Rattus norvegicus: one gene and its partner. The protein of the gene in region 2 interacts with the protein of the main gene of each other region in a biochemical or structural test. Links are inferred from orthologs where the notes say so. Each region holds a gene or a part of one and is shown on either strand. Other genes may lie near its edges.

Evidence for each region. The genes of interacting proteins can lie anywhere in the genome.
Region 1: the proteins of Cbx5 (region 2) and Lbr form a complex in vitro, tested with the Homo sapiens proteins (2 studies listed by BioGRID, with this or other methods). The link is inferred for Rattus norvegicus from reciprocal best matches to the Homo sapiens genes CBX5 and LBR.

What each region holds. Positions count from the first base shown.
Region 1 is NC_086031.1:96,085,706-96,089,272, reverse strand, and holds part of Lbr (delta(14)-sterol reductase LBR), read left to right. Parts: intron 1-2,312; coding exon 2,313-2,396; intron 2,397-2,785; coding exon 2,786-2,978; intron 2,979-3,567. UniProt on the Homo sapiens protein: Catalyzes the reduction of the C14-unsaturated bond of lanosterol, as part of the metabolic pathway leading to cholesterol biosynthesis.
Region 2 is NC_086025.1:136,212,118-136,215,684, reverse strand, and holds part of Cbx5 (chromobox protein homolog 5), read left to right. Parts: intron 1-2,366; coding exon 2,367-2,467; coding exon of another isoform or gene 2,468-2,471; exon of another isoform or gene 2,472-2,473; intron 2,474-3,489; coding exon 3,490-3,567. UniProt on the Homo sapiens protein: Component of heterochromatin that recognizes and binds histone H3 tails methylated at 'Lys-9' (H3K9me), leading to epigenetic repression. In contrast, it is excluded from chromatin when 'Tyr-41' of histone H3 is phosphorylated (H3Y41ph).

The DNA of each region.
Region 1 (3,567 bases), on a different chromosome or scaffold from region 2:
CACCTACTCTGTTAGACATTCTTGCTCTCTCAGTTGGCAGCCTTCTGCTTGGTCACGTTCACTCTTTAAAAATCTTTCCCGTGGAATGACTTTGGTGGTCCATGCAGACGTGGGTGGAGCCAGGGGACCTAGCCAAAAAGTATTTCATCTTATGTAGTATTATAGTTTTTTTACTTTCTTTTTCTTTCTTTTTTCTTTTCTAAGACTGGGTAGCCTAGGCTGGCCAAGAACTTGATAAAAATCCCCCTGTCTCCATTTGTTCAGTTCTGAGATCATAGGGTAAGCTACCACAGTTGATGGATAAATTTTTTTTTTTTTCTTTTTTTCGGAGCTGGGGACCGAACCCAGGGCCTTGCGCTTGCTAGGCAAGCGCTCTACCGCTGAGCTAAATCCCCAACCCCTGGATAAATATTTTAATCATTTGTTCTCAACCTTCCTAATGCTGTGCCCCTTTACAGTAACTCCTCATGTTGTGGTGACCCCACCATAAAATTATTTTGTTGCTACTTCATAACTCTGATTTTGCTATTATGATTCTTAATGTAAGTATTTTGGGGGATAGAAGTTTGCCAAAGGTGTTGTGACCCACAAGTTGAGAGCCCCTGTTTTAGACACTAGCTAGAGCGAAGTAAAAAGAATGCTTTTTTTTTTTTTTTTTGGTTCTTTTTTTTCCGGAGCTGGGGACCGAACCCAGGGCCTTGCGCTTCCTAGGCAAGCGCTCTACCACTGAGCTAAATCCCCAACCCCAAAAAGAATGCTTTTGTATTCTACTCATTTAATGCCATCTCTTCTGGAGACAGAGCACCCGGGCTTCTAATAATCTTAAAAACTAAACGGTGAGTAATGCACTTAGACTTTGAAATGTTAAAATAGTGAGAATAACGTGCCATGTGGTAGTTTCCTCTTTCTGTTGTTACACAGTAAACCTCAAGACACATACATACCTTAGTATTAAAGTTAGTTCTGTGGTGCAACCTTGTGTTTTTCCCTCTCGGTGTTCACTGTTCTAAACGCTTTCTGCAGCATCTCGTCATCTCCTTAGACTTAGCTTGGTCAAGGTGGACAGTGCACAACAGAGGCTTGTAATACGTGTGCTGGACTGGGTGAGCATGCTTGTGCCACCATCAGTACCGTGTGGAATGCTTGCTTTCCATCTGAGGACTGTAACAGCCCCCCCCCCCCCCCCACCGGTTGTCAGAGATTGTCACCTTCTTTTTCAGACTTTGTGCTTCCTTATATGATGGACTTGCTGTTTCTTTGAGTGGCTCTCTACCACGTGGGGGAGGGGCAGATGCTGCTCACTGCTTTCCGTTTCAGCTTCCATCTTCACACTGCCCTTTTATTGATAGAAGAGCTTCGGGTGGCCTTGCCCCTGTCGTCAGAGTCTAACCTGCATGGTGTGTCCAGTTCACATTTAGGCTGCCTCAGCTGTGGACATCACGTGTGAGCTCAGTAATGCACCTCACAGTGTTGAGTGCTCTCTCCTCCTCCTCTGTCCACTCGGGAAGCATTGGCACGTAGTCAGCGTGGGTTAGAGTGAGCTGACTGCTGGCTCACTCCCTGACACTGGGTACACTCCGGCGTATAGCGGGCGCTCTGCTGCTCGCCTGACCTTGAACCCAGTGTGAGCTAATGCTGCCATTGTCGGCTGGTCTGAAGGATGGACTTCTGGAAGCTGAAGCTGGACTTTTGTTTGCTTCTTGACTCAGTAGTGCTTTAGTTGGTTGACAGTCTCTACAGAGGAGAGAAGAGACTGTTGCAGCCATCGCCTTAACAAGCTCTAGCAAGCTAAATTGATTCTCTTTTCTCAGTAAGAAACTATGAGGCTGAGCCGAGAGGGACAGCTAGGGAGGAAAATAATTAAGGGTAAACAACATGTAGCATGAAATGCAAACAGCCAGTCTTCCCACCGTGGGCTGGTTAGGGTCGCTGAAAGTCTTTTCTTCATTTTAATTTGTAGCTAGTGAACGAATTTGCCAAGTTTTACTCACCTGCCTTTCATAGAAATGTTACAGTATGACAGTGAAATTATGGAAACATTAAGTGTGAAAGTGTTTGAAAGAAGGACAGTTAATATAGAAGCCTGTTCCAAAACATAGTGTTGCATAGCTGTAATCCCAGTGCTCAGACAGGGGTTGAGACTGGAGGATTGCCACAAGTTTGAGGCACTGACCTTTTGAGGACCAGGGAGGTCTAGGTGACTTTGTCTCTTGGTTTTTAGCTTGTGTCTGCTGCTTTCCCAGTCGTACCTTGTTATCGTTGCGATGCCTTGCTGGGTCAGGTCTGATTATGTCGGTTCACATTCCATTTAGAAGCCGTTTGCAAACAGCGTCAGTGTGTACAACGGGGAGCCCGAACACATGGAAAAGAGCGCCACACCTCCTAAAAACAAGCAGGTACCCGTACCCTTTGCTTTGTGTCCTTCCGTCAGACTCCACTGGAATTTGTTGTATTTTACTTGTTCATCTTCTGTCTTTAAGACCGTATGTGATTTAACATCTATTCTTTTTTAAACTTCCTAAGATTTATTATATATAAGTACACTGTCGCTGTCTTCAGACACACAGAAGAGGGCATCAGATCCCATTACAGATAGTTGTGAGCCACCATGTGGTTGCTGGGCAAACTCAGGACCTCTGGAAGAGCAGTCAGTGCTCTTGACCACTGAGCCATCTCCCCAGCCTTTAACATTTATTCTTATACATTCTCAGCTCTGTAGAGATGTTGAGTTAGTAGCCTTTGCACTAAATATAGATATTGAATACTGTTTTTTTTTTTAAACTAGGAAAGAGTCATTTTGTCAACAGAAGACAGTTATATAGCTACACAGTACAGCCTTCGCCCCAGAAGAGAAGAGGTCAAAACCAAAAACATAGAGTCCGAGGAACAAAACCTTGTCACCAGAGGACCTGTACCTTTGGGAACCTTTCAAGTGACCACTCCACAGAGGAGGGACTTGGAGTTCGGAGGAGTACCTGGTAGGTGTGAAGGCTCGTTAGGGAGGAGGAGGGTGGCAGAAGCTCTTAGGTGCCCGGGAAAGGCCTTTCTGCAACAGGAAGGGGTTGAGGAGGTGGAGGACTAGGGGAGAACTTTCCAGAAGGAACAGTGGTATGAAGGCCTGAGCTGGGAGCTATGGCGGGATGTGTGTGTGTGTGTGTGTGTGTGTGTGTGTGTATATGTGTGTATGTATATGTGTGTATGTATATGTGTATGTGTATATGTGTATATCTGTATGTGTATGTATGTGTGTATGTGTGTGTATGTATGTGTGTATGTGTGTATATGTGTGTGTGTATATGTGTGTGTATGTATATATATATGTGTGTATGTATGTGTGTGTGTATGTGTGTGTGTGTATGAATGTGTGTGTGTGTGTGTGTATGTATATGTGTGTGTATGTATGTGTGTGTGTGTACAGGATGTGACTGGGAGTGGTACATGGGACACATGGAGGGACAGGTGGGATGATGGGACAAGCCACAATAAGGGGGGTTTACCCTGAGGAAGGGTACAGGACAGCAGTGGTGGTCCTGTAGGGACAGGGAGCTTGCTTGCTAGCGAAGAGTA
Region 2 (3,567 bases):
TTTCTGTGGGTAAACTGAAGCATTGGGGTTTTATAAAGGTTGTGTGTAATTCTTGGCCTCTATGGGGGCTGTCCCTGACCTCTTTCTCTTGTTATTTTAATTTTACAACTTCTTTGTTTGTTTGTTTGTTTGTTTGTTTACTAAGACAAGGTCTCTGTGTAGTAATGGCTGCCCTGGAGCTGGCTATGTAGACCTGGCTGATGTCTGATTCACAGAGATTCTCTTGCATCTGCCTTTTGAGCACTGGGATTAAAGGCCAGGGCCAGCACCGGCTGCAACCTATGCCATATTCTGACTATAATAAACTGTATTGATGAGGAACTTAAGGGAAGAATACTTTTCATTTTCTGAGGACTTGTTTTTTGTTTTGGGGTTTGTTTGTTTGTATGAGATGGGGTCTCAAACAATGCATGAACCTTGGCTGGCCTGAAACTCACTGTGTAGACCTTGCTGGTCTCACTCTGTCTGTGCCCTTTTTAAATTTCATTTATATATTTTAGTACATTTTATTATTTCGCATGTGTTAAGCATGTGTGGACTGCACATGGGTGGATGGTAGAGAACAACTTGAAAAAGACAGTAGCCTTCTTCTACCAGGTTGGTCTTGGAATTGAAGTTGGAACTTTGGGCTTGGTGGTATCACCTTTTTTTAACCCTTTGTGTTCTGACTTTTGTCATTTGGTTCATTTCTAGTTAAAGTAGCAAATAATAATCAAAGACTTTTAACTATGTATTGTGAAAGATAGTAAACATTTCTTCAACTTAAGGTCTTGTTCTTTTAAAGGCAGTAATCTGGCTTTGATTTGAGTCCCCGGCCACTTCAGAGGGCTTCGTGTCTAGGTTCTGGAGCTGCTGACCTTGAAAACAACCTCCAGACACCCTTTACATCATAATGTTTGTCTGGGGCCTTTGATAGCATTCTCAGCAATACTGGCTGCTGTCAGGTAGACAGCTGGCATGATCATAGTAGTTGTGTGTTTTCAAGGTATGGGGAGATTGCCTTTTTTTAGACCACTGCAGAAGAAATTTCTTAGTCGGTTTTATGCCTGATTTAAGATTACTACCTGTGATGATTTTAGTGTTTTCCTTGCCTCAGCTCCTTTCAGCAGCTTGAACATTCTTTTTCTATTTCCCTCCCTATGTAGCAGACTCTTTCCAGCTGCCAGAGATGATGTATGACTTAGTCACTGTGCCAGCATTCCAGCTGTGAGCAGCTGTGTTTGCATCTGGGAACCAATTCCCCTTAAATGCCCCAAAGAGGTTGTGTCTTAAAGAGCCAGTGTCTTCCCACTGATCCTTGGCTACGATTTCCTTCCTTTTGGGGTTCTGGTATCTTTGAGGACCACCAGGACCGTGCAGACTTTTGTGTATCTATTTCAGAATCATTTGTTTGTGTGTTTTGTATTTGCTCATTGTTTTGAGGGGTATGGGTCAGGGAATATGTGGGAGTTGATACTCCCTGTGCACCCTGTGAGTCCTAGGGATCGAACTCAGGTTGTTGGGCTTGGCTACAAGCCTTTTTGCCCACTGAGCTGTCTAACTGGCCTGCTTTTGTAGCTCAAAGGCAAGTCATGATCAGAGAGGGTTGGGATTTGGTTCCTATGGTAAATCTTAAGTTTTCTTTGTGATGAGTGAGCTTGTATTATCTCTTGTAAATTTTAGAAAAAAATATGTATAAAATTAGACTTTTTTGTTCTGACTGTTGTCATCACACCTGGATCAGCCAGAGACTAAAGCAGGCCTTGTGCTCCTCTCATGAGGTCAGTTCAGTTGTTTGCAGTCTCAGACCAGTCCCAATTAATGTGAGTAGCGAGTCTGAGCAGGCCAGAGGCTCCTTTCTCAGGTTATATGCAAGTTAGTGTTGGTGATCTTTGAACCTCTGTTTTACAATATAAATGACTGTGAAATATTAAAACTGTTGGCCACTGTTAAGATAAATTAAAAGTCTAAAAGGCTATTGTCGAGAAAGCATCTGAAGTTGAGAGTGAAAGTGAGCTTGTTTGCTGTCTGAGAAGTCACAGTAGAGGGAGGGTCTGCTCGCAGTGCTGAAGAGATTGAGTAGCTTAGAGGGGTGGAGTACCCAGGTGATTCTCCTGAGACTCCTGGGGTGCTAAAGACTTGTGGGGGGTCCCCCCTTAATCATTTACAAGGAATACCAGGGAAGATGACTACATCTATTGCAAAAATATCTCATAACATTGCTGCCTCTGATTTCTTGAGTTGCAAGGATTTTCTGAACTGATGACAAATGATAACAGATGATATTAACAAAGGCTATGATTTGTAGCTCAGAAAAACAGGTGTTTTGTTTTGTTTTGTTTTTCCTTGATCTCTGCAAGCTCCAATCTCTCCTATTCTATTTATAGCAAAGCAATGATATCGCTCGGGGCTTTGAGAGAGGACTGGAACCAGAAAAGATCATTGGGGCGACAGATTCCTGTGGAGACTTAATGTTCTTAATGAAATGGTAAGAGGAATTGTGCTTCACAGTTGTGTTTTTGCTATGAAGAAAGAGTGTGAAATTGAGAATTCCTAAATTTAATCCATAGTGTCAGTATTAAGTGGGAATTTATGGTTCAGAATAAATTTGTGACATTCTCAAACTTTGGTATTGTTGTGTTATAGTAATCATATTTGGATTAAAAAAAAGTATTACTACTACCTAAATTCTGTATAGAACTGAATCATTTACCGTGAGATCATTAGCCTATGACTATGGGGTAAGAGCTAAGTAAAACTTCCTACATCATTGAGGATCAGGGTCACCAAATGATGTCTAAAAGAGAAATTAATTTCAACAAAAGACATCAAACTGAATGCTAAATAAAGAAATAAAGCACAAATTACTTTATTAGAGAAAGTGACTTACAGAAGAAAGTGGAATACTTCCCCATCCTCCCTTCCTCCTTTCTTGACAAGGTCTCATGTAGCTCAAGGTGTCCTTGAACTTACTATGTAGTGCAGGACATTGAACTCATTCTCCTGTCCCCATCTCCCTAGGCCTGGAGTTACAGAGTTATAGGCATGTACTCACATATCTGACTGGCCTTTTCCTTTCTTCTCTTTCCTTTCCTCCCTTTCCTTTTTCTTTTAAGATTTATTGCCTATTTAATTTTTTTTCTACGTGTATGTGTTTTGCCTCCATATATATATGTTGTGTGTGTGTACCATGTGTGCAGCGCCTGCAGAGGCTAGAAGAGGGTGTTGGATCCCCTGGAACTGGCATTACAGGCAGTCCTGTGGTACCATGTAGGTGCTAGGAACTGAGCCCAGGTCCTCTGCAAGAACAGCCATTTCTTCAGCTCTTTATTTTTTGTTTATTTTTTGATGCTAAAGGTCAAATACAGAGACTCCACCTCTGAGCTATATCTCCAGCCCTGTAAAGAGCCTTTTCTACTTCGATATCAAACCAGCTAACCTCAGGCATTGACACTGACAGACTGTCTCAGTCTCATGTCTCCTTCTAAGTCTTGTACCCTTTCTTTCCAGGAAAGACACAGATGAAGCTGACCTGGTCCTTGCAAAAGAAGCTAATGTGAAATGTCCACAAATTGTGATAGCATTTTA